3 linked regions of the Xenopus tropicalis genome follow. The main gene of each other region encodes a partner of the protein of the gene in region 3 in a complex. Links are inferred from orthologs where the notes say so. Each region holds a gene or a part of one and is shown on either strand. Other genes may lie near its edges.

Region 1 (3,654 bases), on a different chromosome or scaffold from region 3:
AAGCACACTAAGGGGCATATTTATAGTGTGTAAGCCAACATCGCCGGTGATGTTGCCCACAGCAACCAATCAGATCTTTGCTTTTGTTTTCTAACTTGTAGGTGACTGTTAAAATCTAATTGCTGATTGGTTGCTATGGGCAACATCCTCTGTGATGTTGGCTTACACACTTTAATAAATGTGCCAGTACAATTCATTAGGTTCCATCTGTAAAGGAAATCCCCAAAAAAGACACCAGTTATAATATTCTGAAGGGCCACACTAGGCAAAAAATGATCCAGCCAAGGCATCTGCTGAACAAACCAATCAACGAGGGGTACCCTTGCAATGTATTCGGCCAGATATTGAATACATGGGCCGAAGAATCAGCTGAACACCCTTTGCCAGACAAGCTCTAAAACACACTGGCTAGAACACGCTGGATAGAATTTAGAGCCTAAAGCACAAAAATCTGCTCAGCTACAATGTACAGTGTATGCAATACAGCACATCAGCAGAAGCCCAGAGGAAGACGCAGTAAGCACAATGTCAGTGTTACTTGCCTTGTCAGCTTCTTCTTGACATGCACAAAAGTCCTCCCAATCCCAGTTCAAACATATAACAGGCTCTATACAAGCACTGGGAAGCTTTCAGAACCCAGTACCCACCAGTCACAGGTACAAACCGACCAACCAGCTCAGCATTAGTCACAAAAATCACAATAAAGTAGGGCAGTGGTTCTATTGGCTGGAGTATTGCTACTCTGTATTCTACTCTTTAGGACAGCACTTCCCAAACTGTGGTATTTTAGAACACTGGACCCTCAGTTATCTTCAGGCAGGTGAGATTTTCCAATTAAAGGGGAACTCACCCAAACACAACTTTTCGAAACAAACATAATTTGAAGCAACTTTGTAATATACATGAATAAAAAAATACGCAGCCTTTTCATAATGTCTAATGTAATAATAGGGATTGGAACAGTTCCCTAAGCCCCGCCCCCTGTTCCCCTGCTGATCTGGCTGACTACTTTGAGACTCAAATAAAATGTAACAGTAGTCACCTGTTCTCAGCCTGTATCCTCACAATCCCACAATTCCCTGCACAAGTCATGTCAACAAGGAAAGGAACATCACGGTGCAATGCATTGTGGGTAATGTAGTCTTTGCATACTGTCTGTAAGCTGTTACAATTTGTAACATCAGTGTTTTAGTCCCTCCTCCCCTGAAAGGATTTCAGATGATGCAGGAAGAGAGGAAGTGTTTTGCACCTGGATTTCAGCATATAAAAATGGAATTTATTCATTCTTTTTAAGGGAACAGATTACAGTGATAAGTACATTAGGGTTTTATGTGTAGTGTCTTTAACACATTTCTGTAGTTCCCCTTTAACAATAGATATATACACACACACACATATATTTAGTCACATAAACAAATACAAACTGATACAAAGGGTAAAAACACCCCAAAAAAGCCTTGTACCTGCGGAAGGGCCGTGTTCAGCTGCCTCTGGAGAGAGTCCCGCTCATGGCTGGCTTCCTGGAACTTGCTCTGGCTCAATGCTAGAGATTCCTGGGTTTCCCGCAGTGTGTCGAGCAGTCGGTCTCTTTCCTCCAACATGGACACCATAAGCTGCTCAAAATGAGAATCGGAGTCTGCCTGTAAAGGAGACCCGGAGCCATGGCCTCCATTGCCCCCGGATGGCATCTCAGCCTCGCTAATTGTTGGCATCACTTCACACATCATCTGTGGAAAGGAAGGAGAAATCAATTAGCCGATTGGTCGCCTTTAATGAACATTCATTGGCATAAGATCAAATCCACGCCTGACATAGCAAGCAATAAGCAGTAATAAGCAGGTAACGAACACGCTCGTGTTTAGCCACAAACTCTGAACCAGGTCCTGTTGCACGGCTGTGTTGACATGTTTTCCTGCTAAGGTGTCAGACTAGAGAAACACCCAGCCCTGTGTAACAGCTGATAAAACCAAAGCAGGGATGGGTGTTGAGTGATCTGAAATCCGTGGCATAAAAGGGAAGTAAAAGCTGATATTTACACAACAGACAGCCATATAGATCACCCAGACTGCTTACAGTACTCACAGCAGGGTTATCTAACCAGACTCCGCACAGCTGCTGCTGAACTGCAACTCACACAATCCCTTAGACAGTCAAAAGAGTAGTTTCAGGTAACTAAATTGGATATCCCATCTACAACATTACAGAAAAGAGCTAGCTTGTTTCCTTTCTCTTCTCTGGTTCTGACTCCTGCAACAATGTAGCAGAATCACTTTTCTTTAGGTCTGTCGCTTTGGCCTCTGCTACATTTTTTTAACCCAGTAATTAGGAGAATATAAAACAGCCAGGTATATATGGTAATCAGGGACCTTCCCATTATATACAGGTATGGAATCCGTTATCCGGAAATCCATTATCCAGAATTACGGAAAGCCTGTCTCCCATAGACTCCATTTTAATCAGATTTTTAAAATGGATTTCCCGTTTTTCTGTAATGATAAAACAGAACATTGTATTTGATCCCAACTAAGATATAATTACCCCTTATTGGGGCAGAACAGTCCTATTGGGGTTATTTAATGGTTAAATGATTCCCTTTTCTCTGTAATAATAAAACAGTACCTGTACTTGATCCCAACTAAGATATAATTACCCCTTATTGGGGGCAGAACAACCCTATTGGGTTTATTTCATGGTTAAATGATTCCCCTTTCTCTGTAATAATAAAACAGTACCTGTACTTGATCCCAACTAAGATATAATTACCCCTTATTGGGGCAGAACAGTACTATTGGGTTTATTTAATGGTTAAATGATTCCCTTTTCTCTGTAATAATAAAATAGAACATTGTATTTGATCCCAACCTAGATATAAATAATCCTTATTGGATGCAAAATAATCCTGTTGGGTTTAATTAATGCTTTATTGATTTTTTAGTAGACTTAAGATATGGAGATCCAAATTACGGAAAGACCCCTTCTCCTGAGCATTCTAGATATAGGAGCCGTTATCCAGAATGCTCAGGAGAAGGGGTCTTTCTGTAATTTGGATCTCCATATCTTAAGTCTACTAAAAAATCAATAAAGCATTAATACAATGAAAAGAAGCCCCTGACCTGCACCAGAAGGAGTTTCATGTAATAAAATCCTTCTCGGAGCACTTTGTGCTGCCATTAATGGGGATCCTTTATACCAAATTAAGCAGACCTTAGGTGTATAGCCGGCTTTAGTATAACACAGAAAAGTAATGAATTACACCACACCTTTAATTGGAATAGAATTCACTCAGTCCAACATAATAAGGCTAATTAACATGCTTGAATAAATGAGACCTAAGGCTACAGGAAGCCTGAATAAAAATGCTTTACACATAGATCGTTTGATGTAGAGCGTAATAACTTAAGAATTTGCAATTGGTCTTCATTTTTTTTATTATCTGTAGTTTTTCAATTTTAGTTCAACAGCTATCTGGTTGCTAGGGTACAAATGACCTTAGCAACCAGGGAGTGGTTTGAATGAGAGACTTCAGGAAAGGACCTGAATAGAAAAGTAAGTTATGAAAAGTAACAACAATAAATCTGTCTACCCACAGAGCAATAGTTTTTGGCTGCTGCTTCAAGTACAGGTATGGGAACTGTTATTTAGAATGCTCGGAAC
Region 2 (3,654 bases), about 7.0 Mb from region 3:
GGGTAAGTCTGCCAATGGGTATCGCCCAATAGTGCCCGACCAAAACAGCCCTTCCTCCATCTTTGCTGACAGTATGACCACCGGGGGGGGCATACATGACATTGTACTTTGGGGTTTACTTGCCCTTTACTCTCCTGTCTCAATGTATTTTTTTTATGTTTAGTTCCCCTTTAATTTTCATTTGTTCAGATCGCCAGTCTCAAACTCCAGCAGCTTGGATAACCTGAAGAAGGAACCTACAGAACTGGTGAGTGCCCCGGGGGGCGGGGCACAAATCCAGAAATGGGCGGGGCACAAATCCAGAAATGGGCGGGGCATTAGGAGAGTCAATGAAGGCTGTTCCCTTTCGACCAGCTTTGGGCAGGCGTACTTCCCCTTTATATACCCACCCCCCCACCCCCTGCAGGGCCCATTATTAAAACATGCCTGCAGTACTTACCTATTTCCTTACCTCTACTTCCTGGATCTGCTCTAGATTAAGCTCCGCCCCCAGACAGTGGGCAGGGCTTGCTCTGCAGAACTAACTGAATTTCCAGCTGCCGCATCTTCTGATGTGTTTTTCTTGGTTTACCCCTCAGAGAACGGCCTCCCCGGAACCGGGCAAGTTTGAGACCCTCCCCCCGCGGCCCCCCGGCCAAGGAGCGGCCACCGACGACGAGAGTTTCGGCACCCGTAAGGCCCGGTCGTCCTTTGGCCGAGGGTTCTTTAAGATGAAGAATACCAAGAAGACCTCGAGCACCCCCAATCTAGGTATGTAGCACCCCCACCGTGGGGCAACTCTCCTCTACTGACCCCTGCGTGTCGTACGGGTAATGACACTGTGTGTAACTAAGGGGGTGCTGCATGGTTACAGAGCTCGACCTTAAAGGTCAATTTGTGGCTCAGTTGCCCTTAAGGAAAGTTAAGGTTTAGGGGCCCTGAGTCTTCGATATAACTTCGATATAATCTACTCAGCCCCAGACTCTTGGTTGTTAAGGTAGATAACCCGTAGCAACCAGGTAGCAGTTCAACACTGAGAGCGGCAGAACAAAAAAAAAATGTAAAAAGTTGTAAAATGGGTCTCGAGTTGTCTGAACCCTAAAGCACAAGCAGCTTGTGTGTCCCTTCCAGCGAGGGGTTAATGAACAGTTCCAGCATGTGGGCGGCCAAGTCTCCCGGGGGTTAATCTGCTTCTGATTCTTCTGTGGGAATGTGAGAGCCCCTCCCTCTCCCCTGTCAGCAAACTGCCCCCCCCCAGAATATGCAGGTTCTGCCCCCTATCCCATTCCCATCAGCCCCTGCCCCAGTGAGCTTACAATCTAAGGTCCCTATCCCATTCCCATCAGCCCCTGCCCCAGTGAGCTTACAATCTAAGGTCCCTATCCCATTCCCATCAGCCCCTGCCCCAGTGAGCTTACAATCTAATATCCCATTCCCATCAGTCCCTGCCCCAGTGAGCTTACACTCTAAGGTCCCTATCCCATTCCCATCAGTCCCTGCCCTAGTGAGCTTACAATCTAAGGTCCCTATCCCATTCCCATCAGCCCCTGCCCCAGTGAGCTTACAGTCTAAGGTCCCTATCCCATTCCCATCAGTCCCTGCCCCAGTGAGCTTACAATCTAAGGTCCCTATCCCATTCCCATCAGTCCCTGCCCCAGTGAGCTTACAATCTAAGGTCCCTATCCCATTCCCATCAGTCCCTGCCCCAGTGAGCTTACAATCTAAGGTCCCTATCCCATTCCCATCAGTCCCTGCCCCAGTGAGCTTACAATCTAAGGTCCCTATCCCATTCCCATCAGCCCCTGCCCCAGTGAGCTTACAATCTAAGGTCCCTATCCCATTCCCATCAGTCCCTGCCCCAGTGAGCTTACAATCTAAGGTCCCTATCCCATTCCCATCAGTCCCTGCCCCAGTGAGCTTACAATCTAAGGTCCCTATCCCATTCCCATCAGTCCCTGCCCCAGTGAGCTTACAATCTAAGGCCCCTATCACATTCCCATCAGTCCCTGCCCCAGTGAGCTTACAATCTAAGGCCCCTATCACATTCCCATCAGCCCCTGCCCCAGTGAGCTTACAATCTAAGGTCCCTATCCCATTCCCATCAGCCCCTGCCCCAGTGAGCTTACAATCTAAGGTCCCTATCCCATTCCCATCAGCCCCCTGCCCCAGTGAGCTTACAATCTAAGGTCCCTATCCCATTCCCATCAGTCCCTGCCCCAGTGAGCTTACAATCTAAGGTCCCTATTGTTGGATTCATGGCTGCTGTAACACAACAAAGTGTTAAAGGGGAAGTTAAACTGACTAATAATGTTGCAGATCATTATCTCTTTATCATTAAATGATTTCTGGTTTCTAGGGTCAGTGACCCCCCCCCCCCCCATGGCAACCACAATCGGTGTTATCAATGAATTAATAACTTCCAGTGACGTTCATCTCATGTAGTCAGCCTCTCACGGTTGTTAGGATCAGTGACCATAGCAACCAGAAAGCTAGTAGGAATGCGACCGTTTCTCTCTGGCGCCCCCCTGTGTTCGGGTTGCTGTACTGTCTGTTACCAATAACTGTCTCTCTGCACATTCTCCACATTTTTTGTCGGAAATCCGAAGACCGCAGCCGGAGTGCGAGCGCCCCCGCCCTAGGTATAGTAAATTCGCATGTGCCCCTCCCCCCATCGTGCTGTGCCCCTCCCCCCATCGTGCCTCGCTGCCCCTGTACCCACCCATCGCTGTGTTGTGCCCCCCACTAAATCATCCCTAGGATCCATCACTAATTGGTGTGATAATAACCCACGCCCACGGGCGCCGCCCTAACCCCGCCCATAACGCTCATCGTTCTTGGAAAAACGCACTAATGTGGATATTTACCCCCCCATAGAGACGCTATAGCAACCGCTGCCTCGTTTTAAAGGGAAAGTATACTGTGTGTAACCCTTTAGCTGCCGGCCGGCCAACTACCGACTGGCACTTAAGGGGTTGAAAGGTAGGAGGGGGGTGTGGCTTATTCAGCGTACGGGGTGGGAGCTGCCCTATGGAATAACAGGAGAGACCGAGGTGTATTTTCCCTTTGCAATACATTAACCCTTTAGTGCGCTGGAGCAGCCGCTCAACGCTTGGCGCTTAAAGTGACGGCGTCATTGTCGCAATTAATAACGACTTCCGCCATAAGGAGACGTTTGGAAAATAGACTTTGCCTTTAACTTCCCCTGTCTTTGCCCCGTCCAATCCGTAACCAGTATCCCCTACGTGATGTTCTAATCCCGCCCCCTGGGACGGATCCAAACGGAACCAGGGTTCTATTTTCCATAACTCTCCTTATTGGCGGTCGTTAGCAGGAATTAGCGCTGAGGCTCGTTAGTGGCGCGGGGGCAGCTTCTGGGGCAAATTCATTTCGGGGGGGGGACGTTGGAGAAGGAGGAGGTAGGTATCCCAGGATCCTCTGCTCCCCCCGGTGCCTGTTAGGGATTCACTGAGTAGGTTCCGGCTTCACCTGGACCCAATATTCTGCTTTTGTGTGACCCAAACTCTTTCTCCCCCCCCCCCCCGGGACTCAGACACGGAGAAGGGATCCACTGATCACCTGGATCTGGCGCTCTCTTCCCCCAACTCCATGGATGGAGGCAGCACCCACAGCTCCCCCTCCTCCCCCGACTACAAGAAGAAACCGCGAGGGATACGG
Region 3 (3,654 bases):
GCCCTGCCCAAAAGAGCTTACAATCTACAAGGCATCTGCCCAACTCCTTGATGTGGGGCCCGTGCTTGCAGTTTTCTTTCCAGGACTTCATTGTCCTGCCCAAGGTCTTGCTTTGGGGCCTCCATTTTGTGGTCCTTGGACTTGAATTTTGTAATTTCCTTATGGTTACATATGTTTTACCTGGAGAAAGTCACCTGGTAGCTTCATGTGGTTATGGAACCCAACACTGATTTCTCATATCCTTTTGGTTATACGTTAGAGAATAGATTATTCTGCTTATATATTCTTTCTGCGTCTGTAGTTGGTGTGTGGGTGCACGTTGAACTGTTAGGGGTCCCTTTGCTCCATTGGATAAAATTAAGTGCAACTTCACCCTGTAGCTTAGATAATCGTTGCCATACATGGATCTACAGAGTGCTGACTTGGCAACTTATTGGATTGGACTATGCAAGGTGGCCTCACAATGGCCTTCACGATTATATTTGGCCAAAACCGTACCAGATATCCATCGGGCAGGTTAGACAATGTCATTGGGCAAAGACCGCATCAGAAGTTAATTGGGGATAAAAGAGCACCCCTAAATTAAATAATTACCCTTAAGGCTGTTGAAGGACATTTCTTCATGGGCTTGCAACCTAGTAGTCCCGAATGCTCATTTAGTAACCATCTCTCATGTTTTTGCTTCTCTGCAGGTCACATGAACTGGACATCTGAAAAACATGGAAAATCCGTTATCTTTTATAAACTTTTAATCGTTTGACACCATTGCCCCTAATCCCTTGTGGGAGAAGCAGAGGAACCCTTTAACTTTTCATTTGCGTACAAGCCACCACCTCCGATCGCAGCCATGTATGGAAGTTCTCGCTCCGTCGGGAAGGTGGAGTCCAGCAGCCAGAGTCCTGGCCGCTCTCCGAGGCTTCCACGTTCTCCTCGGTTGGGCCACCGCCGCACAAACAGCACCGGAGGGAGTTCTGGAGGGCCTCCTGGGGGTGGTAGTGGAAAGACCCTGTCCATGGAAAATATCCAGTCTCTTAATGCTGCTTATGCCACGGCGAGCCCGATGTATCTCAGCGACCATGAAATTGTTGGGGGCGACACACCCAAAAGCACCATGACTTTGGGGAGGTCCGGGGGTAGACTTCCCTACGGCGTAAGAATGACTGCAATGGGAAGCAGTCCCAACATCGCCACTAGTGGCGTGGCCAGCGACACCATTGCCTTTGGGGACCATCATTTACCACCGGTCAGCATGGCCTCCACCGTCCCCCATTCATTACGCCAGGCACGAGACAACACCATCATGGACCTCCAGGCCCAACTCAAGGAAGTTCTGAGGGAAAATGACCTTCTGCGCAAAGATGTCGAGGTGAAAGAGAGCAAGCTGAGCTCGTCCATGAACAGCATCAAGACCTTCTGGAGCCCCGAGCTGAAGAAGGAGCGAGCCTTGCGTAAAGACGAGGTGTCCAAGATCACTGTGTGGAAGGAGCAATACCGGGTTGTCCAAGAAGAGAATCAGGTATGTTAGTGCTTCTGTGCTTGTATTCTGAATATGTGCTGATTGGTTCTCTCGGGCTAGCCTAGTGGCTTCTACTCAAGGCATAGGGTGGCCCTTAACGGGGTTGAAAACCTTTGCGTTCACTTTAGTATGATGTATACAGTAATACTTGCAATTGGTCTTTATTTTTATTTGTAGCTTTTTTAATCATTTCACTTTTTGCTCAGCAGCTCTCCACTCTGTAGTTTCAGTAACTACAGGTATAGGACCCGTTATCCATAATGCTCGGGACCAAGGGTATTCTGGATAAGGGGACTTTCCGTAATTTGGATCTCCATACCTTAAGTCTGCTAAAAAAATCAATAGACCATTAATTAAACCAATAGGATTGTTCTGCCCTCAATAAGGGGTAATTATATCTTAGTTGGGATCAAGTACAGGTACTGTTTTATTATTACAGAGAAAAGGGAATCATTTAACCATTAAATAAACCCAATAGGGCTGTTCTGCCCCAATAAGGGGTAATTATATCTTGGTTGGGATCAAGTACAGGTACTATTTTATTATTACAGAGAAAAGGGAATCATTTAACCATTAAATAAACCCAATAGGGCTGTTCTGCCCCCAATAAGGGGTAATTATATCTTAGTTGGGATCAAGTACAGGTACTATTTTATTATTACAGAGAAAAGGGAATCATTTAACCATTAAATAAACCCAATAGGGCTGTTCTGCCCCAATAAGGGGTATTTATACCTTAGTTGGGATCAAGTACAGGTACTATTTTATTATTACAGAGAAAAGGGAATCATTTAACCATTAAATAAACCCAATAGGGCTGTTCTGCCCCAATAAGGGGTATTTATACCTTAGTTGGGATCAAGTACAGGTACTGTTTTATTATTACAGAGAAAAGGGAATCATTTAACCATGAAATAAACCCAATAGGGCTGTTCTGCCCCCAATAAGGGGTAATTATATCTTAGTTGGGATCAAGTACAGGTACTATTTTATTATTACAGAGAAAAGGGAATCATTTAACCATTAAATAAACCCAATAGGGCTGTTCTGCCCCAATAAGGGGTAATTATATCTTGGTTGGGATCAAGTACAGGTACTATTTTATTATTACAGAGAAAAGGGAATCATTTAACCATTAAATAAACCCAATAGGGCTGTTCTGCCCCAATAAGGGGTAATTATATCTTGGTTGGGATCAAGTACAGGTACTATTTTATTATTACAGAGAAAAGGGAATCATTTAACCATTAAATAAACCCAATAGGGCTGTTCTGCCCCCAATAAGGGGTAATTATATCTTAGTTGGGATCAAGTACAGGTACTATTTTATTATTACAGAGAAAAGGGAATCATTTAACCATTAAATAAACCCAATAGGGCTGTTCTGCCCCAATAAGGGGTAATTATATCTTAGTTGGGATCAAGTACAGGTACTGTTTTATTATTACAGAGAAAAGGGAATCATTTAACCATTAAATAAACCCAATAGGGCTGTTCTGCCCCAATAAGGGGTAATTATATCTTGGTTGGGATCAAGTACAGGTACTGTTTTATTATTACAGAGAAAAGGGAATCATTGACCATTCTATGACATACTACACGGTAACTTAAAGGTGAACCACCCCTTTAACTAGAAGCTATTCTAGCCATTGTGCCCTTTTTACCCTGTTGCCAGGTTTGTATCCGTGCCCAGGAAACTCACTGCTTGTGTAAACATCCTTCATAAATCACACAGAGCCTCTTGTTTCTCTGCGTTGCCCATCGCCCCCTTCTCACGTATAAAGAGCCAAACACATGGCCACCTTATGTACATAAATATAAGAGGTATTTAAGCCGAGCCTAATTGCAGAGTTGCTGGGTCTGGCTGGGGTTTTGTACATGGATTTTGGATGCTGCTGCTGCTGCCACTGTGCAAACAAAAGCGCTATGCAAAGAGAAAGAGTTCGCATTCGGGTTGGATTTTATAACCTCTCGGACCCGTTGCCTGGTTAGCAGGACTGGGCTCGGGAACTTGACTTCTTGTTTAAATATTCCCTTTATGGTGTCTGTTTGGAGAGGCTGATCTTTCCCAAGGTCGGTCAATAGTGTTGTCCGTGGCACAGGACTCTCTCCGCTTTATTTTTATTGGTTTGGGGATT

Evidence for each region.
Region 1: erc1 (region 3) and ppfia1 share a complex: the UniProt entries of both Homo sapiens proteins name them as parts of the cortical microtubule stabilization complex. The link is inferred for Xenopus tropicalis from reciprocal best matches to the Homo sapiens genes ERC1 and PPFIA1.
Region 2: erc1 (region 3) and ppfibp1 share a complex: the UniProt entries of both Homo sapiens proteins name them as parts of the cortical microtubule stabilization complex. The link is inferred for Xenopus tropicalis from reciprocal best matches to the Homo sapiens genes ERC1 and PPFIBP1.

What each region holds. Positions count from the first base shown.
Region 1 is NC_030680.2:14,493,452-14,497,105, reverse strand, and holds part of ppfia1 (liprin-alpha-1), read right to left. Parts: intron 1,728-3,654; coding exon 1,464-1,727; intron 1-1,463. UniProt on the Homo sapiens protein: May regulate the disassembly of focal adhesions. May localize receptor-like tyrosine phosphatases type 2A at specific sites on the plasma membrane, possibly regulating their interaction with the extracellular environment and their association with substrates.
Region 2 is NC_030679.2:2,632,888-2,636,541, reverse strand, and holds part of ppfibp1 (liprin-beta-1), read left to right. Parts: coding exon 1-2; intron 3-189; coding exon 190-247; intron 248-578; coding exon 579-750; intron 751-2,585; coding exon 2,586-2,618; intron 2,619-3,529; coding exon 3,530-3,654. UniProt on the Homo sapiens protein: May regulate the disassembly of focal adhesions. Did not bind receptor-like tyrosine phosphatases type 2A.
Region 3 is NC_030679.2:9,627,567-9,631,220, reverse strand, and holds part of erc1 (ELKS/Rab6-interacting/CAST family member 1), read left to right. Parts: intron 1-692; 5' UTR 693-847; coding exon 848-1,516; intron 1,517-3,654. UniProt on the Homo sapiens protein: Regulatory subunit of the IKK complex. Probably recruits IkappaBalpha/NFKBIA to the complex. May be involved in the organization of the cytomatrix at the nerve terminals active zone (CAZ) which regulates neurotransmitter release.